Linked DNA regions of Arabidopsis thaliana. The protein of the gene in region 2 interacts with the protein of the main gene of each other region in a pairwise test. Each region holds a gene or a part of one and is shown on either strand. Other genes may lie near its edges.

What was found.
Region 1: the proteins of ARF4 (region 2) and IAA6 interact in a two-hybrid assay, tested with the Arabidopsis thaliana proteins (one large-scale study listed by BioGRID).
Region 3: the proteins of ARF4 (region 2) and IAA15 interact in a two-hybrid assay, tested with the Arabidopsis thaliana proteins (one large-scale study listed by BioGRID).
Region 4: the proteins of ARF4 (region 2) and ATAUX2-11 interact in a two-hybrid assay, tested with the Arabidopsis thaliana proteins (one large-scale study listed by BioGRID).

The regions. Positions count from the first base shown.
Region 1 is NC_003070.9:19,671,532-19,676,016, reverse strand, and holds IAA6 (indole-3-acetic acid 6), read left to right. Parts: upstream 1-2,364; 5' UTR 2,365-2,457; coding exon 2,458-2,857; intron 2,858-3,049; coding exon 3,050-3,140; intron 3,141-3,268; coding exon 3,269-3,347; 3' UTR 3,348-3,541; downstream 3,542-4,485. Other genes in the region: CDT1 (cadmium tolerance 1), read left to right, coding at 4,157-4,205, 4,353-4,485. UniProt on the Arabidopsis thaliana protein: Aux/IAA proteins are short-lived transcriptional factors that function as repressors of early auxin response genes at low auxin concentrations.
Region 2 is NC_003076.8:24,307,186-24,315,271, reverse strand, and holds ARF4 (auxin response factor 4), read left to right. Parts: upstream 1-2,487; 5' UTR 2,488-3,084; coding exon 3,085-3,459; intron 3,460-3,601; coding exon 3,602-3,658; intron 3,659-3,920; coding exon 3,921-4,106; intron 4,107-4,204; coding exon 4,205-4,289; intron 4,290-4,372; coding exon 4,373-4,463; intron 4,464-4,586; coding exon 4,587-4,748; intron 4,749-4,845; coding exon 4,846-4,965; intron 4,966-5,047; coding exon 5,048-5,123; intron 5,124-5,222; coding exon 5,223-5,388; intron 5,389-5,489; coding exon 5,490-6,178; intron 6,179-6,272; coding exon 6,273-6,463; intron 6,464-6,545; coding exon 6,546-6,714; 3' UTR 6,715-7,017; downstream 7,018-8,086. Other genes in the region: AGL62 (AGAMOUS-like 62), read right to left, coding at 7,752-8,086. UniProt on the Arabidopsis thaliana protein: Auxin response factors (ARFs) are transcriptional factors that bind specifically to the DNA sequence 5'-TGTCTC-3' found in the auxin-responsive promoter elements (AuxREs). Could act as transcriptional activator or repressor.
Region 3 is NC_003070.9:30,220,212-30,224,880, reverse strand, and holds IAA15 (indole-3-acetic acid inducible 15), read left to right. Parts: upstream 1-2,111; 5' UTR 2,112-2,178; coding exon 2,179-2,381; intron 2,382-2,473; coding exon 2,474-2,660; 3' UTR 2,661-2,861; intron 2,862-3,037; 3' UTR 3,038-3,252; downstream 3,253-4,669.
Region 4 is NC_003076.8:17,547,772-17,552,910, reverse strand, and holds ATAUX2-11 (AUX/IAA transcriptional regulator family protein), read right to left. Parts: upstream 2,733-5,139; 5' UTR 2,447-2,732; coding exon 2,268-2,446; intron 2,176-2,267; coding exon 1,873-2,175; intron 1,784-1,872; coding exon 1,705-1,783; 3' UTR 1,196-1,704; downstream 1-1,195. Other genes in the region: AT5G43710 (Glycosyl hydrolase family 47 protein), read left to right, coding at 1-136, 372-659; AT5G43695 (uncharacterized protein), read right to left, coding at 4,360-4,541, 4,623-4,662. UniProt on the Arabidopsis thaliana protein: Aux/IAA proteins are short-lived transcriptional factors that function as repressors of early auxin response genes at low auxin concentrations.

The DNA.
Region 1 (4,485 bases), on a different chromosome or scaffold from region 2:
TTGCGGTTGTGATCTTAGATCTTGGTTCTTGAACGATCTCATACAACCAAAGTAGTAAAAGTTCATTTTCACATCCGTTAGTAACCTACATAAAGTAGATTTTAATTAAGTTTATCATTTCAACATAAGTCATTAAGATATCAAAATTTCCAAATATTACTTACATATAATTTTAACCATCCAGCGAAATCACGATCTTTGTAAGTTTCGTCGCAAAAATTCCCACAGAACAATATTTGTACTTGCAAGTCCCTCGCAATTTGCAATGACTTTGCGAGGAATTTTTTCGTCCTCGCAAGTTCCTCGCAAATTTCACGCAATATTGCGAGGGAATTATCCCTCGCAAAATTTGCGACGGAAAAGCGACGTGTCTTCTCTCCCTCGCAAATGTCTCGCAAATCTGTAGCAATTTGCGAGGGATTGTTTCCATCGCAAATTGTCCTCGCAAATCGCTTGTTTTCTTGTAGTGGTATTTGGAAGTTTATAAGGTTTATCAACTCCAACTTAAATACTTCTTCCGTCTTTGATACTAGATGTTTAAATGTTTTGCACACAAATTAATTAATCATTTATTTTTATTTATTTTTTAAACTAAAAATCATTTATTATGTACCTAAATACGATTCAACAAATAATAAAACAACCTACAGAACTTAAATCGTGAAAACAATTAAAAAAATTTACATTGAAAGTTGAAAACATTATCTAGTTTAAAACACATTTTTTTTCTTCTCTAAAATATGAAATATATAAAAATATCAAACTGAATCATTCTTTTTTCTTCTTCTTATGATCTCTGTCTTTCTGTTAGATTATATATATGAGAATCTTATATTTGTATATATCTAATATCTTAGGAACAGATTTATGCTTATCTCATGTAACCCTATATATATGTTCAATACATAACTCTCCATTCACGGAGATTCATACAATTACACTTTCATTATCATCACACTTGTAAATACTGAATTTTATAGTTGCCTTCATGATTTCGAACTAGATATATATTCTGTTGGTTCTGATTACATTTATATACATAAATTTATTCCAAGTTGCGTGTTATTTATTTGATCAGAATTAGTATATGACCCAAAAATAAATATTCAAATCAAAGTTCATGCGGTTTCATCATTTAGCTACGCGATGTAGGAACATACTTGACATCTTATTTTTATTTGGTCGTTCTTCTCTATGAATCACGTGGAAAAGTATACCAAATGATTTTTGGCAGATACGTATTACTAAAGTATCCGAGATTAAATATTAATACACTATATAGAAGAATTAATGGGACATAAATCATAAATGCATGGAAACATTGGTGAAAGACACTTAACACTTGGGACGACCAATGTTGTTTGATATGAAGTGAAATTAACGCGTCTGCCTAATTGTTATGGTTCATATTATGTCACATGGACCAACTTCTTGTTCTTCTTCATTCAAGAACCAACTCACGTACACGTTTTTTCATTTTCTTCCCTCAAATATCTAGCTGTATATTATATTGCAAAATCCAGATTTGAATATGATCGATGCAAAAGATTGTTTATAGAGTAGAGTAGTAGACTAAAGAACCAGATTACTCTTACCTATTCAGATTATTTGTGTTATATTTTGTAACTAACTTAGGTCACTAAGTAACGAATTTAAAGCTAAATGCATCTATTCATTCTATCACAAAATCCAGCCGTTATTTTTTAGAAATGTGAACAAATATTAAGCATTAAGATATTTAAAATAGGAAAAATAATAGCCACAAATAAAGTAAATTAAAGAAGAAAAAAAAAAACATTAGTGATAGTCCGATGATAGACGTGTCCTATTGATTACATGTTATTTCCCACTCAACTTCCTTAATTCTAATTCCAATCCTTGATGTGAGGGTTTTTTTCTTCATTGATTCTCAAATCTACATTATGTGATTCTTGATGTACCTGTATGTACAATTTGTATTCAACTACCAAATAAAAATGTGAGCAAGAATAGGCTAAGAAATAATACTAATACAGTATCCTTAGAATACATAATTGTATATTATTAAGGATAACACATGTAATGTTTAGGAAAGATGGCCAATGATAAATCTTATAAGAAACCTAACAAATATTAACACCGGTAAGATTTGTTCTCTTAAAACAAATCCTATATAAACAAAAATGAAGAACAAGGACCCAACATATGTCTCTCATGTGACCGACCAACACATCCTCAGTTGACCTGTCTTTGGTCTAACCTTGTCTTCCTCCACAAAGCTAACAGAAATAATTATGAATGTTAGTCTCTTCCATGTGTCAGTATATTATTGGATCTTGTTGGAGCAACTTGACAACATATAAAAGCACGAGGCAGCTCAATACTATCATTCCAACAAGAGAAGTGCTTGAGAGAAAAAAAAAGTATCAAAACTTCATATAGCCAAATTTAAACAAAAAGAAAAAAGAGAAGAAATAAATGGCAAAGGAAGGTCTAGCACTCGAGATCACAGAGCTTCGATTGGGTCTTCCAGGAGATAATTATAGCGAAATATCAGTATGCGGATCGAGTAAGAAGAAGAAGAGGGTGCTCTCGGATATGATGACCTCATCAGCGTTAGATACTGAGAATGAAAACAGCGTCGTTTCATCAGTTGAAGATGAATCACTGCCGGTTGTGAAGAGTCAAGCGGTGGGATGGCCACCTGTGTGTTCTTACAGGAGAAAGAAGAACAATGAGGAAGCATCGAAAGCTATAGGCTACGTGAAAGTGAGCATGGATGGTGTGCCATACATGAGGAAGATTGACCTTGGTTCGAGCAACAGTTATATTAATCTAGTCACGGTTCTTGAGAATCTCTTCGGCTGTCTTGGCATAGGTTAGTAATGGCATGGACTAATTTCCCGTAACGTTAGTTAATAGTTACATGACCATGTTTATAATTGAGCTATAAACTTTATATATACGTATTGTTAGGGTTTCTATATATATTGGAAGTGTGAAGAGAGTAAAACACATATATTAGTTGGAACTTTATGAAATATAACACATGTATATATAAACTATGCAGGAGTGGCGAAGGAGGGTAAGAAGTGTGAATACATTATTATATACGAAGACAAGGATAGAGACTGGATGCTCGTCGGAGATGTACCTTGGCAGTAAGTTTATGTTTAGCTTGCATTACAATGCTCAATTATCAAATTTACCAAAATGAATATAATTAACCTCTTACAAGTCAAAAATTTGTAATTTTATTTTTTAAATTGTAAATTTTTTTTGTCGGCAGGATGTTTAAAGAATCATGCAAGAGGCTGAGGATCGTGAAGAGATCAGATGCAACTGGTTTTGGTCTCCAGCAAGATTAATCATACTAGCTAGTGTTGATCATCTTTAATTAACCATAAAGTTTGAAAACCGTTGAGTAATTTTTTTTCATTATAATCATTTTTCAAATTGTAAAATTTATATGATAATGATGATATATACGTTTTCTTCAAATGTATTTCCTTACTGGTCGTATCATACTTTAATGTTTTATGGCTCATTAAAGGTGTTTCTTAGCCTCACAATACTTTTTTTTTTCGTCTGAATGATTCATATGAAATATAACACTTGAAATTGTTCACAAAAGTACAAAAGGAAACGAGGGTAATCAACTACAAAAAAACCATAACAACAAAGTAATGCCTCACAATAGTTTGCTTTAGTAGTTTTCTAGACTTACTATTATTTTCTCTTAAAAATCAAGTGGTACGTGATTATTATAACTTTATAAATCCTCCGGCTAAATCATCTTTTTATCGCCGATCCAAAGATAGTGGAAACCTATGAATCTTAAACGGAGCTAAAAATAGTGAAAACCTAATGAATCTTCCCAACTAATTTAAGAAAGAATGAAAAATGTTAAATATTTGTTTTTTTCTTTCACCAAGAGCCAAATTAAAGCTGGCTTATTCCTATATCATATCAAATGTAGTTTTGGGTGAAGATTCTAACCACTTTGTCGGTCCAAATAAATGTTGCCATATCTTCCGTATTAAATGATCATATCAGTTTGCAGGTAGCAGATTTGAAGTCTATATATATACTACATCCAATTAATCCCAACCCCTAAAGTTATCAAGACACTCACGCAAAAGAATGAAGGCACCGCCACAACAAGAAATGACTTACTATGACAATGTCAAGAAACGGCAAGACGAACAAGGCTGCTTATTCGCAACGTCCGTACCAAAATATAATCTCTTCTCTTTTCATTTAGTATCTGTATCGTAGACCCTTTTGTATCATTTAGTATCTCTTCTCTTTTCTTTTTTTATTTATCGAATTCGGAGTTCTTGATTATTTGATAATCTTTTAACCTGTTGTAGGTTTTACGCGTTGTTCTGTTGCTGTTGCTGCTACGAGAAGTGCAAGTGTTGTTGCTGCTGCGTTTGATTTCTATATATGTATCATCATCTCAACATTACTCTCATTAATTGTGTCCCTCGCATCACAATTGCT
Region 2 (8,086 bases):
TGTTGTATTTTGACAAATTTACGTGTATATAATTATATATATTGAGTTTTTGGTCCAAAACTAACTCACATCATAAAATTCAACCGTGGGACTTCTCACAATATAATCAAATTAGATGTCTTTTCTAAAATTGTACAAAATCGACTTTCTTAGTAAAATATTATTTTAGTTAGGAAATTAAGAAACATGAAAATGAGATACGATCCACTCTTTCTTTTTAGTACTAATTAAAAAAAGATAATCTTTGACTAAAAGTTATGATCAGCAGACAGAAGAATATGGTAATCATATCATTAAGAATAAGAGATTACACGTTTCGAATTATGGTGCAACATCAGAATAAACAAGATATATATTTCTAATCAGAAGTACTAAAGAAAAAAAGTGAGAATATTAAGCTAGTTTTAGAAGGAGTATGTTGCATGAAAAATGTAAGAAAAACAATAAAGAAGGTGGGGGCCAAAGAGGCAGCAAATATCAAGGGGGTCTTTGTTAGTTGTTGGGACTCAGTCACTAACTCACAACTTCTGAAGAAGAGACTCATTCTTTCTCCTTCTCCCATCCCATCATCCTTTTTGTTTTCTTCTTTTCTTATTCTTTTTTTTCTTCTCCAATGAAGTTACGAAAGGTTATTACTCATAATCAAATGTTTTTAAAAGTAGATAATTAAGTAAGTTGCGAAATTGTGAAAGGAATATACAAAACATAATATGATACTTTGATCAGGTTATATGAATTAGTAGCAAACTAATATTATATGAGCAAAAATACATGTTACTAGATTTTAACCCGCGGTACACCGCGGACACAGTTCATTTTTAAAAATTAATATATATAAAAATTTGTAAATTATTTTATAGTTTACCATTGTTACTAAGTAACGTCCTGCCAAACCCGTCCTGCCAAACCCGTCCACAAAAAAAAACTATTTATTTTATTAATGTTGATCTTATTTATAATATGTTTATGAATCATTGTCAAAATATTTTAGTCGTTGCGGGACGTTGTACCCACACATTTTTCGCCAATTGGTTAATATATGTTCATTCTTAAAATTTCGAATTACAAAATATGACGAAATTTTTTTTGAGATTTTTTTAAACTTTATATATTATATAATGATGTTAATTATTTTTGATAGATTAAACTTTTTATAAATTCAAATATTAATAATGTTTTATGAAGTTTAAATATACAAATAATAATATTTAAAAAATTAATATTTTTTGCCTTTTAGGTAAATGATATAATAACTCTAAAAGCAAAATTTAAAAGATTTAAATCTTTAAATAAATATTTTCATGCCTAAATAATTAATGTCAGTAGCATGACATTGTAAATAAGTTCAAATACATGATTTGTTTATTTAAACAAAAAATATTTAGTAAGAACAATATTTATTTAAACAAAAAATTTTGTTAATAAAATACGTTTATGCTAATTTTAAGGGATTGATGTGAAGTTTGTTTGGATTAAATTTGATTGATAATGTGATTGACAATTTAAATTAAAAATTTAAAGTAAAATTAATTATTTTGAAAAAAAGATTTAATGCTAATGGCATTGGGTTGTAAATAAGTTCAACTCTAAGATTTATTTGCTAAAATGACTGCAAAAATGTATATATAAATGTTTTCAAATTATGAAGCAATCATTTGGACCATCAAATATATTTTATTTATTTTTACTAAACCCATTTGAAGATATTTATCCAATAAGTAGTAAGTATTTGAGTAGTTTTATTTTACTGAAAGAGTCGGTGTGGTTATTGAAGTATAAATTTTATATTACAGACCGCTGAAAGTTTTTTTTAGTTGATTAGGTTTTTAAACACAGACAGTACTTTAGTTAATCAATAACAAAATGCTGATTTTCATATTGTTTGTCTCAGAAAAAGAGAGAAAAAGTGCTTTTGTTACAAAATCGAAAGGAGCCTACTCTTCTGTCTTTAGCCGGTTGGTTGGCTCTTAACAACGCAATGAAAAAGCATTTTTTCTAATAAATCGAAAACAAATAAAAATTCATAACATAAAAAAAGAAAGAACAAAGAAAGATTCCAAAGAGATACTGTTTCCTTTGTAAGAGTATGCAAAGAAAAAGCTAATCAATTTGCGGTTTTTATTCCTCACAACTCACACAAGTTAAAGAAAATTATGGTGTGAATGAGAAAAACAAAGGGTTACGTCAATTTCGTAATACCATAAATCCAATAGATGCATATAAACTTTGATGGTTCATTTTGAGTGAATAGTCTAGTATGAATAATTAAACGATTGATTCATCGATGGTTTGACGTATTTAAAAAACAGTTGATTTTGAAGAAAACAATCTAGACAATGGATTGAATTAGTCTTATTAGCACCTAATTAAACTTTTAACATTTCTTCTTTCAACAAAAAGGACGAAAATCAAAAACGGTAATAATTAGCAAAAAAGTGAAAACTTTTATTTTGTGTAAACGTGTGTATATTGACACAAATATAGTTTTTATATATAAAATTTCATGTGAATAAATAAGTCTTTATTGGGAAACAAAAACAAAAAAGAGAGAAGAAGAGGAAGAAGAAGAAGAAGGAGAAAGGGAGAGTGTAGGTGTGGGTTCTGTTCTGTCTTGGCTTTGTCTCCCCCGCTTATCTCTCCCTCTCTTTCTCTCTCTCTCTCTCTTTCCACTAAATTGTTTTTTTTTTGCTCTTTAAAAAGTATATTTTTTTCCAATCTGCAAATTTTAGTCTATGTCTGTTCCTTGTGCTCCCTCTTCTCAGTACCTGCAAATGGAGGAAGAAGAATCCTTCTCTGAAACCCTTGTTCTCATTTGATTCCTCCTTCCTCTCTCTTCTTCTCTCTCTGTCTCTGATTCGTTATTCCACACTTATGACTCATCTTTCCCGTCAATAGCTAAGTTTGCCTCTTCTTTGTGAAATTTAGCTGAAAAAGGAGAGGAATTCCGAATTCTGTCACTTCAAAGCTCGAATTTTGCAAACTTTCCTTTGATGGGTTTTACTTGTTTTGTTGTAATCTGATTAAAAATAGAAACTTTTTGTTTTCTTCTTGTCTCCTTTTGCTCTTAAAAGAGAAGCTTTTTCAATGGAATTTGACTTGAATACTGAGATTGCGGAGGTGGAAGAGGAGGAGAATGATGATGTAGGAGTAGGAGTAGGAGGAGGAACAAGAATTGACAAGGGTAGGCTTGGAATTTCACCATCTTCTTCTTCTTCATGCTCTTCCGGATCATCATCGTCATCATCTTCTACAGGCTCTGCATCTTCCATTTACTCTGAGCTTTGGCATGCTTGTGCTGGTCCTCTCACTTGTCTTCCCAAGAAAGGCAATGTAGTTGTCTATTTCCCTCAAGGTCATTTGGAGCAAGATGCTATGGTTTCATATTCGTCTCCTCTTGAAATCCCCAAATTTGACCTTAATCCCCAAATCGTCTGCAGGGTGGTTAATGTCCAGTTGCTTGTAAGTCTGTCTGTATCACTCTACCCAAATAAAGAACATTCCTTTTGTGTTCTATTTTACTATTCTTGAACAAGTTCTGTTTTCTTTCTCTAATTGTGGTAATTGTTTGCAAACTTGGTTCCTTCTTTTGGGGAAACAAAAGGCTAATAAGGACACCGATGAGGTCTACACTCAAGTCACTCTGCTTCCACTTCAAGAGGTACTCTCTTTTACTCAAACTTGTTGCTTTTTTGACAATTCAATTGATTTTTGATATCACTAGTGTAATTCCAGATTCTAGGTGTGATTTTAGATGCTACGGTTTAAAGAGATTGTGAATAATCTTGTTTGTTCTCTAAGTGACTCAAACTCATCATTGGTTTAACAGGATCAGAGGAATCACTGAAACCGTTGGTCTTGTTGAGTTTCATTTATAATCTCTGTGATGTTAAGATGCTGAAGTAACTTCTTGGTTTTTATAGTTTTCGATGCTAAATGGGGAGGGGAAAGAGGTCAAGGAGTTAGGAGGGGAGGAAGAGAGGAACGGAAGCTCATCCGTCAAGCGGACACCTCATATGTTCTGTAAAACCTTAACAGCGTCTGACACAAGCACACATGGAGGCTTCTCTGTACCTAGAAGAGCCGCTGAAGATTGTTTTGCTCCTCTTGTATAATTCTCTATATCTCATTTCCTTATTTTTTTTTTTAAGGAGAGGTTTTATCTTCTTGTTATAAGCCTTATTTGTGAATTTTCCACTGGTGTTAGGACTACAAACAACAGAGGCCATCTCAAGAGCTCATTGCAAAGGACCTCCATGGAGTAGAGTGGAAGTTTCGCCATATCTATAGAGGTGGTTTTGAGTTTGTTATTATTCGTTTCTTTTTTCTTCGTCAGTGAAACCAAAATGTTTAGTTCTGTCTCTTTTTAATATAGGTCAACCAAGGAGGCATCTACTCACCACTGGTTGGAGTATCTTTGTCAGTCAAAAGAATCTCGTCTCTGGTGATGCGGTTCTCTTTCTGAGGTAATCGTAAGATTTCAGTTTATCAAATGGTGATGTAGATTCATGGTGTTTCCCTCTGCTTTGGTGGTTTGAAGCCCTTGATCCAATAATGTTTACATTCATTACTAATATCGGCGTTTATAGAGACGAAGGAGGAGAGCTGAGATTAGGAATCAGAAGAGCAGCACGGCCAAGAAATGGACTTCCTGACTCAATCATTGAGAAGAATTCATGTTCAAACATTCTGTCTCTTGTGGCTAATGCTGTATCTACAAAAAGCATGTTTCATGTGTTCTACAGTCCACGGTGAGATAAAAATGAAAAGCTGCCATTCGTAATGATTCTTAACTAGGTTCAGTAAGAAATAAAGAACTATAATGTTGATTTGTGGATTTATATACAGAGCGACGCATGCAGAGTTTGTGATTCCTTATGAGAAGTATATCACAAGCATCAGGAGTCCTGTTTGCATAGGCACAAGATTTAGAATGCGATTTGAAATGGACGATTCTCCTGAGAGAAGGTATTGTTTCTTTCTTGCTTCTTTCTCTGTGTTGTGTAGCTAATATTGTTGGACGAGAATTTATATTCGATCTTTCTTGCAGATGCGCTGGTGTAGTGACTGGAGTCTGTGACTTGGACCCGTATAGGTGGCCAAACTCTAAATGGAGGTGCTTGTTGGTGCGTCCTCTCATCTTTTTGGAGTATCTGTCTATTAACGTGTAGAAGACTTTTCATTTTCGAAGATTGATATCTAAATCTTTCACATTTGTTTGGCAGGTGCGATGGGATGAGTCTTTTGTGAGTGATCATCAAGAAAGAGTTTCACCTTGGGAGATTGATCCCTCGGTTTCTCTCCCACACTTGAGCATTCAGTCATCTCCAAGGCCTAAAAGGCCATGGGCAGGTTTACTGGATACTACCCCACCCGGAAACCCCATAACAAGTAAATTATATAGACCTCTCTTCTCTTTGGAGTATATGCTTTTGCAAACAGTTCTCAATTTTCATCAGTATATTATTGATAACTGTTCTTGGTTGCAGCAGAAAGGGGTGGTTTTTTGGACTTTGAGGAGTCGGTTAGACCCTCTAAGGTCTTGCAAGGTCAAGAAAATATAGGTTCTGCATCACCCTCACAGGGGTTTGATGTTATGAACCGCCGGATACTGGATTTTGCGATGCAGTCTCATGCAAATCCAGTTCTTGTGTCGAGTAGAGTCAAGGATCGATTTGGTGAGTTTGTAGATGCTACTGGCGTGAACCCAGCTTGTTCAGGTGTTATGGACCTGGATAGGTTTCCAAGGGTCTTGCAAGGTCAAGAAATTTGCTCGCTTAAATCATTCCCGCAATTTGCTGGTTTCAGTCCAGCTGCTGCTCCTAATCCCTTTGCTTACCAAGCCAACAAGTCAAGTTACTATCCGCTAGCTTTGCATGGGATTAGGAGCACTCATGTTCCGTATCAGAATCCATACAATGCGGGAAACCAATCCTCGGGTCCCCCTTCACGTGCAATAAACTTTGGTGAAGAGACTAGAAAGTTTGATGCACAAAATGAAGGTGGCCTACCAAATAATGTTACAGCTGATTTGCCATTCAAGATTGATATGATGGGAAAACAGAAAGGCAGTGAGTTGAATATGAATGCTTCATCAGGATGTAAACTTTTCGGATTCTCCTTACCAGTGGAGACACCTGCATCTAAGCCGCAAAGCTCGAGCAAAAGAATCTGTACAAAGGTAAAACGTTTTCTTTATCATCTCTTTGGCTACTTTGAGTTGCAGTTTTAGATGTCTCTTCTAATCAGTTCTTGTGTTGAATTGTTATCAAAAGGTTCACAAGCAAGGAAGCCAAGTGGGGAGAGCTATTGATTTGTCGCGACTTAACGGGTATGATGATCTCCTTATGGAGCTTGAACGGCTGTTCAACATGGAAGGGCTTCTCAGGGATCCTGAAAAAGGATGGAGGATCTTATATACTGATAGTGAGAACGATATGATGGTCGTTGGCGATGATCCATGGCAGTAAGTTCTTTATACATACCTTCTAAAGGTCAATCACAACTTCTTTTCTCCTAACTTGAAATTGGCTTTCTGCTATGGATAGTGATTTCTGCAATGTGGTGTGGAAGATACACTTATACACGAAAGAGGAAGTGGAGAATGCGAATGACGATAACAAGAGTTGTTTAGAGCAAGCTGCTCTCATGATGGAAGCATCAAAGTCATCTTCTGTGAGCCAGCCTGATTCTTCTCCTACAATCACTAGGGTTTGATACCCATAAAGAAGCTTATTTCCTATGTTTTAAAGTGTGTTTTGCTCACAAAAGAACTTCAACTTTATCTTTGTCTTTGAATCCATTTATGTGTTTGTTTGTGTTTCTTCTGGTCTCCATGGATGTCTCATGTGTACCGTTTTACTCGAGAGATATGTGAGTTTATGGGATGTGTAAAGCATGCCATTGGATTTTAAGGTTTTCAAAATTACAATATATATATTAGTTTTGAAGTATTTTGCTTGATTTTGAAAATTTCATTTCTTAAGTTCTTACATATGTGGATACTCTTGTATTGTTCTTACAATTTTTTTATTTATTTTTAGATTGATATCTAATACATACTAGATATTTGATGATGATTTAATCTTTTTTAAGGAAAATAAATATTAGAGTATACTGCACGGATTAATTAAATAGAATGATGTGACATAGATTTAGCCTTTTTTTCAACTAAAAGTTAACCTTAATTTTATTATATTTTCCTTAAATTTAACATTAATTTTATTATATTTTCTATATTAGAATTAGATTTTTATCATTTTAGGAATATTTCACAATATCTGTATTTCATCATTATAAGGAATGAAATTAGAGGGAAAGCCATTGTAATGCTGTCATTTCATTTTTTACAATGTACCAAAATATGTGGGATAATGTATGTACTATTTTAGTTGAAAAATGGTGCACACAGAAATTTTCATTATGCTTTTTTGCAAATTTATTTTAAAATAGTACATGATTGATTATGATTATTACCTTTCTGTGTTTAAAATTCTGCAATTGCCCAAAATGCGTAAACGTAACCATGGCAGACTAGTATTTTCAGAGGCGTAATGCATTTGTTTCCGACACATATAATTTATATATAGCAATAACATAATTTTGAAATGAAACAACACAATACAACATAATACTTAAACAAGAACAAGAAAAACAACAACAACACATGTAGAAACATAAATAAGAAGAAATAAAGATAACCTAAACACACAACTTTTTGTCTAGAGACTTAAGTTGGATCACACAACAAAGGGTTAATAGTAATCAGATCTAGACTGGGGAGGATAACCATGATGATGTTCATATTCAGAGATGTTTTCTCTCTTAAAACTCTGGTTTTGGATTTGGATTTGAACTTGATTTTGGTTTTGGATTTGGTTTTGGTTTGGGTTATACTCTGGTCTGAAGTTCACATTGTATTCTGGAACAAACCCTTCATTAATACCATAAGCATTGTTTCCAAAGGGTGGTAATGCATGATTAGGGTGAATTTGGTTCTGGTTGTAGTTGAAGGCATTTATGTCCATCATTCTTCTTTGGCTAAAGAGATCCATATCAGGGTTGATATGACTACCATCATCAATCCCAA
Region 3 (4,669 bases), on a different chromosome or scaffold from region 2:
TACTGTAAATGTTATTGATATATTTAGTTCTTAATAGAGTTTTAAACCCTTTTTTCTAATGCATGTTAAGACAAAGAAATTTAATATGAAGTTCATTATAGAGATATGACACTCTAATTATCTGGAACATAACGGAATAAGATCTTAATCAAATTCTGGATTCCGTTATGTAGATTTTTATGGAATGACAACAAAAGAAAGAAAAAATAACTGGGCTTATTTTGGGCTTGATACCATAATGGCATTATGATGTATCAAATCTGCCATGATGTATTCTTGACCCACTGTAGGAAACCTGGATTGGTTTGGGCTTAATTGGATAAACAATCTGTATAGAATTTACTGGTTTCGTAATTCTCTAAGTCTCGGACCGCTCTATTATGTTATCGCAATTTATTATACCCAAGTAAATGTCCAAGACATCAATATCAGTTTTCTAGAGCCTAAAAGCAGTTTCGATTATTTGAGACAAAAAGTATCAATTAACATTAAATACTAGCTACCAAATTTATGTACTTCTTATTATTATCTCACATATTTTGTTACGAGTCGAGTTAAATGAATTATACGACTGTTTCATTCCATGCGCATTATAACGAAAGAAAACAAACTTAGAAAACAATGGCTGACCGGAATTACCGGTCACGGGTTTGTAATCGAAACCGGTAAATTCGTCTATGTGTCGCCAGTAGGACCTATTAGCCCCTGGTTTAACTCTTATTGCCCTTATTGGTCTAAGAATAGTGTCGTGAACCATCGAAAAAATCATTTATGATTCTATGTTCCCCAACGAAAAACAGAGTCACGTGACTTACGCATGTGACCCTACGCTGCTGTAATTAATGTTCTGCTCTTTTCCTTTGTCTAAACTTTTTTGACATCTCATTTCATATTGCATGTAAATAATATGACTAATATGAAATTAATACCGGACACTGAAAAACTTTTCAGTAAAAACTTTATACTTGTTCACTAAAAAAGGGATAGTTATCTATCTCTAACTTTTTTTATCCCAAATCATGAAACTTTTAATCGCTTTTATACAATGATTGATGTTCATTATATATTTTATTTTAGATTTTATTTCAATTTTGAAGTAGAAGTTTCAACATTTAGTTCTGTTCACATTGTTTTTTTGGTGGGAACATTCTTTTCATTGTTTACAAGATCCACACGCATATTAGTTGGGATTTCTTCTGATATTCGGTGAAAGATTAAACTAATGAAGAAGTATTGTACCTAATTAGTGTGTAGTGTACGATGATAGATAATTAGGAATATATTGTTAGACCATGATTTGTTTTCGACCGACGACAGTGAAAGTTGATGTACATATATAATGGTGAAACTTTTTTACCAAGAAAAAGTTAGTTGGAATGATAATTTAAAGGAGTAAAGCGACAACAAAGTGTAGACAAAAGGAACACTATTGAAGATCTCTCCCGAAGAATATATTGGACTGAAGTTTTTTTTTTTTGGTCTAATGTTAAATTATTGGACTGAAGTTGACAAACACAAACAAATATATATGGGAATAAAGTTTATTATATTTTCCAACGATTATAAGCAAAGGTAACATGAATGCGATTAAAATGATATTTTCAACTCTATTTAGAAAGTAAATAATGGTATTTAGAATATATATTTTTCTCGTTTTGTGAATGCTAGTGGATAATATAATCAAATTATATATTTTTCTCCTTAATCGAACCCATCAGTCGTGACGTGGGAGCTTAAAGATCAGGGCTGATTTCTTCTTCTTCTTTCTTCTTTTTTAGTTGACAGTGATTTCTTCTTCTTCTTCTTCTTTTGATACCAGGCTAATAGAAATTAAAACTGAAAAGATATCCGTACACATGCAATTACATCCACTAATGACAGTTTAGAAGATGCTAAGTGGCTATAACTATAAATGAGCCCACACCACACGAAGTAGAAGCTAATCACCAAACTGTTCACTTGCTTTCGTGGAGATATAAAAACCGCCAGTTACAGGAAAACGTGTCATTATAGGTAGGGTTCACTAGTTTTTTAGCTGACAAGTATAGATCGACTATAAATACAAAGTTGGAAACCTCGAGAGTCTCACACACTCAAGCCAAAAGTTAGTGCCACATTGTCTCATCACTTTCCGCACTTTTGTTGTTAACTAACTTTCATAAATAGATTAAGATATTAATGTCACCGGAGGAATACGTTAGGGTTTGGCCGGATTCCGGTGATCTTGGAGGAACTGAGCTGACCCTAGCTTTGCCTGGCACTCCGACAAATGCATCGGAAGGTCCAAAAAAGTTCGGGAACAAACGTAGATTCCTCGAGACCGTTGATTTAAAACTCGGGGAAGCACACGAGAACAATTATATCTCAAGCATGGTCACTAAGTACGGCATATATATATTATATTAATTTCATTTATCGTTCATATAGGTCATATGCATGTTTGATTGATCTTCTTAATTTATTGTGGTTTTAGTGACCAGTTGGTGGGCTGGCCGCCGGTAGCGACAGCGAGGAAAACAGTGAGGCGGAAATACGTGAAAGTGGCGTTGGATGGTGCGGCCTATCTCAGAAAGGTTGATCTTGGGATGTACGATTGCTATGGACAGCTTTTCACCGCTCTAGAAAACATGTTTCAGGGGATAATAACAATATGTAAGTGATCGAGATAAGTAGGAAAAAATAAAGATTTTGATGTGTTTGGATGGACTGACGAAGTGAAGGATATTATGGTAAATTTACTTACACTTGGGGTTTTGGATGGTGGTAGGTAGAGTGACAGAGTTGGAGAGGAAGGGAGAGTTTGTTGCTACTTACGAGGATAAGGACGGTGACTTGATGTTAGTCGGAGATGTGCCGTGGATGTGAGTTCTCGGAATTACCCTTTGTGTTGCTTTTACGTACTTTTCCTTTTTTATTCAAAACTAGAATTTCTGTACTATTTTGTTACTTACATTCATATCAAAACTAGAATTACTGTATTATTCTGCTGTGAAGGAAACTAAATTTTCTTGGGATTGATGATATTTAATTTGTGTAGGATGTTTGTGGAATCTTGCAAACGTATGAGGTTAATGAAAACCGGAGATGCTATTGGATTATAGGTCTCTATTCTGCTTCCCACAACGTAAACGCATCGGATCTTCGAAAGGCTATATAAGATTATGATCACAAATGCATTAAATACTGTAGAGATGTATACAATTGCATTTTTGAATTGCAATATGCTATATATGTAATTTCAAACCTTTTTTGGCCGTGGATTTTGTATGTAATGTACTACTATTGTTTAAATGATTTTACTTTTTTTTTTTTTAATTCAATAATTACAAACCACTTTTAAGCATCAGTGCCGACCACCACGATCCGGGCATGACGACATCGACACTCGACAAGACGGGATGCTCAAAGTTTTAATATGTTTTTTTTAAAAAAATTACACGTTTCATTTTTATGCATTCGAATTTGTGCATTAAATGATCCTAGAGATCGTAATATAAAAGCGGATTTTTTTTTTTGTAAGAATGCTAGGTCTTGTAACATTTTTCTCTAGCACTCGTAGACCTTACTGTTATTGATTACATGCAGGAATATCAATAAACGAAGAACTAAAAATGGAATTGAATACTTGAGATTGACATTAAATTATCCTAGAGATCGTAATATAAAAGCGGATTTCTTTCTTGTAACATTTTTCTCTAGCACTCTGTATATATCTTATTGTTATTGATTACATGGCGGAAACATCTATTATCAATAAACGAAGTGCCATTTGAAAATTTAAAATTTTAACATTTATCCAAAAATAAACTTATAGTTTTAGTAGTAATGTAAAAATAGAATTTTAAAAACATTTGTTAAAAAAAAAAACAAGTGTTAAAAGTTTAAATAGTGTGTAAACCATTTTAAATCTAGGACACTTTTTAGGGGTTTGCATGTTGTGTCCAAATATATATACAAAATTTAAAAATTTAACACTTATAAAAAACAAACCCTTATAGTTTTAGTAGTAATATAAAAATACAAGTTTAAAAACATTTGTAAATAAAAGAAAAAAAATGTTAAAAATTTAAATAGTGTGTAAACCATATTGAACCTATGACACCTCTTAAGGGTTTGGATGTTGTGTCCAAATATTTACACAAAATTTAAAAATTCAACACTTGTAAAAAATAAACCTTATAGTTTTAATAGTAATATAAAAATATAATTTTAAAAACATTTTTAAATAAAATAAAAATAAGTGTTAAAATAGTAATGTTTTAGTGAAGGTTTTGTACTAATTAGTTTTGGTTTTACTTAAAATAAGTTATAAAGAAAAGAAAACAATTCTTAGCAAAAAAAAAAAAGAAGCAAAAGAAAAGAATGAAGAAAGTAATACCTTGTTGGATTTGGTAGCAAAGAAAGCCCATTGGAAGCCCACCGTGAGCCCACTTGGAAAATTTGAGAAGCTTCTTTCTTCTTCCTTTCATCAAAAGCCCATTGGAAGCCCATTGTTGCTTGCGTCTTTGTTGGAAACTCGTCTGAAATTGGTCGTCTTCTTCATTCATTGTCGACACTGCGTTCGACTTGTCGTCTCCTATCAATATCATCACAGTTCATCTTCAGTGTAGTGTGATTGCCGATGATCAAAGCGCGATTTTGTTCTCGTTTCAGAGATCTGAGAAGCTTG
Region 4 (5,139 bases), 6.8 Mb from region 2:
CTCTTACTTTGGTGGATACTGTCCAAGCAATTCCACAAAACTAGAACAAGAAGTCCTTGGAGAAGACAGTAGTAACGATGATCACAGTAACGATTATCCTTACCACGAATCTTTTCCAGTTACCGGTTTGATAAAGGTCAGTACCAGAAATAAAAATGTTTCTTTCTTTCTTTCGGATTCCTTACCACGAATCTTTTCCAGTTACCGGTTTGATAAAGGTCAGTACCAGAAATAAAAATGTTTCTTTCTTTCTTTCGGATTCCTTACCACGAATCTTTTCCAGTTACCGGTTTGATAAAGGCCAGTACCAGAAATAAAAATATTTCTTTCTTTCATCAAAGTCAGTTTCTTTTGTTTTGGGGTTTTTGTAGGGTTTATGTCCAGGACTAACACATGCTCAGAAATATGGTTTTTCGTATGTTCTACCGGAGAAGACAGATCGTGAAGATGTTAATCAACCTAAACCGGTAGTTACAAGCAGTTCAATTGTGTTAATCTCGGATCAAACAGTGGAGAAGAGACCACAGGAAGAAGAAGGATTTACTTCTCAGTCTGAACCAATAATGACAATCTCTGGTGGTAGTAGCAACGACCAAACAGGTCAAGAGCTAACCTTGTTAGAGTCAGAAACTGATGATCAAAGATCATACTCTTCTTAAATCTCTCATTTATATATATGTTCCACAGAAGAAGATTACAAAAACTTTTGTTAGAAATATAGATTCAGTTTTCCAATCTCATCAAGAATCTTGAATCCTTCTTTTGTTGATCGATTGTTGTCTCATCATAATCATCATCATCATCATCGAGACAACTAGGTTTAAGTATTTGGTAAAATTCTTGACTTAATAATCATCTTGCATCAAGAACATTAGGTATGAATGTAAAAATTGTTGGTGCACAAAGGAAAAACCTAAATTCAATGAACCTATCTATACCATTTTAAAATATTACTCTAGTTCCAAGGTTCATAGATTATTATAAGTGATAGTGGAGACAAATTAGCACAGTTGGGTAGATTTACTTGTTTAAGGTATGGGGGACCAAAGTCACAGTTGGTAACAACAAAAGATAATATAAACATTTCCAAAGCCCCAAAAATATTCTCACTGCTCGATTAGATTTCTTATTTCTTTAATCTTGGTGACTAAACATGTATAATCTAAGTTTAAAGAAACTAGAATCCAATGATATATGTTTAGAAGCTGGGATTATTATTTTTACCATAAAGCAGCTTTGGTTTAATGATTTGTCTTCGTTGTGTTCATCTACAAGTTAGGTTTAATGTTCTGTGTTACAGTTTTGTAAAGACAGATCTTAATTTGAAGAGAAACAGAACAGAAAAATGGGTAATTACATCAAAAACATCAAAGTTGTTCGATAAGAACATTATAAAAAGTGAAAAACACAAAGATAATCTTCAGATTAGATCTTTCTAATACCACAAAACCTTTCTCTTTAATGGAGACAGAGTTACAGCTAAAGTTTAGATTTAGATCTTTCTCACACTTTTATGCTTAAGACCATTTTAAGCATCTCTCTTTTTACCGATGAGGTAAACATTCACAAAGTATGATTGTATGAAACATCTCTCCCCAAGAACCCGAGCAGTTTCAGAGCTATATTTACTCTGTTTCAAGAAACAGAACAAAAAACTCTGTTTTTGAATCTTTCTCTTTGATCTTTATCTCTCAATTAGGTTTGTTAAAGACCACCACAACCTAAACCTTTAACTTCAGATCCTTTCATGATCCTTAGCCTCTTACAAGACGAAACAAACATCCTGCAATAACAACAAAACACCATAAATACATAAACAAGATTGTGTCATAAGTTAACTAATTTGAGAGATAAATGAAAATTTGTACTTACTCCCAAGGAACATCACCAACAAGCATCCAATCACCATCTTTGTCTTCATAAGTAGGTACAAAGTCTGAGCCTTTATATCCTTCTCTCTCAAAATATTCTCCCACAGAGAATTTAAACATGTTTTCAAGTGATTTCATCAACTCTGGATATTGTTTATACATCGTTAGATCTATCTTCCTTAGATATGGAGCACCATCCATACTTACTTTCACATAGTTTCCTTGACCTTCAGATTCACTCTTCTTTGTCTGAACATTGTTCTTTCTGTAAGATCTAACTGGTGGCCATCCAACAATCTGAGCCCTATAAAACAAGAAATAGCATAGATTAGATTAGATCAGATTCACAACTCAACACACATTTTCAGAGAAGTTGTATTTGATTCAAACACTTACTTTGGAGGAGAAGCGGTTTCAGTTTTTCCAGTGGATTCAATCTCTTTCTCAGTAGCTTCAGGTAAAACTCTTTTGTTGCTTTTTCCACAAGAAACAGTTTCTTCTGTCCCTGGTAATCCCAATCTCAGCTCTGTTGCCTTTAGGTTAACAAGCTCATCATAAACATCAACTTTTTCCATTTCTTCTTCAAAGAAAGAACCTCTTTGTTTTTGTGTGTTTTGTGTTCTTGTGGTTGTCTAGAGAGAGAGAAAGACTTGTTGATGAGATAAGAGGCTTTGTGAAGAAGATTGTTTTATAGGAATTGAAAAGTCACTTTTTTGGTAATTTAGAAAAAATGGGATTAACTTGATTTAAGGACAAAGGCAAAAGCTAAAGCTGTCGGGTAGTAAACAGTAGCAGCAACTTTGAGGCAAAGTGTGTCCCATCATTTTGGGGACATTTGTGGGACACTTTCATCTTCAACACAAAGAAAGATACTTTCTTTGATTTTAGAGGACGGTCTAGATTCATTTCTCTGTAGCCCTAATTCAAGGAAGTGGGGTAGAGTATGGTACACTCATGTGCAGAATATAAAAAACCTTTCTCTTTTGTTCAAGCATTGAGTTATTGTAGGGTAAGCATTACATGTACTGTGGTCTGCCATATGCATTTGTCACCTCTCTCTCTCTCTCTTAAAGCCAAGAACTTACTCTTTCATCTATTTGTGGTTCATGTGATATCAGGATTAGATCATCCTAGTCAATTGAGTTGAAACTCTAGCTGTCTAAAGTCAAACATATTCATAGTCTTTTTTTCTGTGTTTGGAGGATAAGATTTTGAGTTTCATTGGGTCTGATTGGTAGCTTCATGTGTGTCCAACTAGTATTTGAGTTGGGACTTTCGAGAGTATTAGTAAAGAAAAACAAATAGTATTTGAGTTAAAATTATACTATTTGTTTTTCTTTACTAGTTTTCATGAAAGTCCCAACTTAATTTGTCTCTCTGTCTCTATGAAACTTCTAATGATCTTTATATATATGAATCCAGGAACAAACTGACAAGAAATCTTGCCAAAAGGTTTTGTCTTTAGACAGTTCATTATCTATGGGGTCTTATCGTTTTGGGTTTTGATTTCTCTCTGACTTTGTTTTCATGTTACTACAGCAAGGCAGTTTATGTACTTGTCATGCTTTAGTGAACCAATGTAAACCAAACCTAACCTAATCTCTTTGGAGGACCAAATTTGAAAACCTATGTTCAAGACTATTTTTTTATCCTAAGTTTGTTTAGTCTCGATTTCAAATTTTTTTTTTCTGTAGAAAAAGTTTTGAATCGTTACACATTAAGGGGTATTATTCAGTCATGGATTTCAATAGAATCAAATCCAACACTAATCCACTGTGATTGATGATTCTAAATGGTGCTTAAATATTTGTGATTAATTTATCATTAGTATTATGTTATTTTTGGCACATGACCTCCTAATAGTCTAAATCCTTCTTCTTGAGTATGATTTATGGATTACGACATTTGGGAAGTGAACATTTAGGAGATTGTTGGTTTTATCCGAATTGGTCTCAAAAAGGAGAATTTTAAAGGTAGTGAGTTTGGTATTTATTGTTACACGGTAGACGACAAGACTTTGGGTTCGATTTGAAATGTGAAAAGTTGGTTTCATTGCATGGTTGGCGTTAGAGATTTAAGTTCATGACTAGCTTATTTAGCTAGAAATCAAATACTGAAAATGAGACGTATCTAACAACAAACCGGTTCATGGCATTCTCTCCGGTTCCGGTTCTTTTGGACTCTATGTTGGATTGATCCACCGTTGGATCCAATAAATGATATAAAACAGCTACACACATGATCATACATATACAGCTTCATAAGTTATAGTTGGTGGGCAATATATATGCTTTTATATCATCCTAGTGATTATTCTAATGGTGGCTGGTTTGATGAAAAATTAGGCATCACCTCTTCCATGTTGAATTTGTTCTTAACTATCTTTTTTGAATTTTTTTACATAATGTTCAATATTTTTTGTATGGACTATGCAACAAAGTTTTATTATTAGTGAAAACATATCTTATTCAAAAAAGAAAACGGAAAATTAACATAGACATAAACAAGGAGTAATTCTGTTGTTAGGAATACATTTCATATGACATCCATCCATGCAGTCATCATCCAGTAATTTCACTACCTGCGGCGAACCTTCATGATGCAACTGAGGAATTTCTTCAAGTAATAACCTTTTCGCCTCAACATTTCGAACAGTAACGATACTCATCACTACAAAATCAGAAACTATAAATAACAAATTTTGTATATAGATTTTTGTTATTTGCTTCACACGTGAAATATAAATTTTACCTGATGTAACAATTAGGCAGATAAGGAAAGCAAACTTCATTGGTATTTTTTTACTTTACAATATATAGCGGAAGTTGTTACACAAAACTCGGGGTACTCCCCAATACGTAGAAGTACAACTATTTCTAGATACAATAGTTATATAAAGGGATCTACTGTAAATTACTAATTATTTTGTTTTTGTTACCAGCCAAATAAATACTTATCAAATTACAAGGAAAAAGTCCAGTTATTGACTAAGTAAAATTATATGAATTTATTACAAAATTTTGTAAATATACATGAGACTAGTATAACTGATATTCTACAAAAAGTCGGTAACAAACTAACAATATAAGACCAATTCTAGAGTGCAAACTAGAAAACAAACAGTTTAAGAGTTACAAGAGATAGATCATATAGTTTTGAAATATGGAAGCAAATAACAATCATCAATCCATATTCTATATTGTAGTTTTTATTTGAATTGTGGCAAGACTTTGGGTTCGATTTGAAATGAAAAACTTTGGTTTCATTG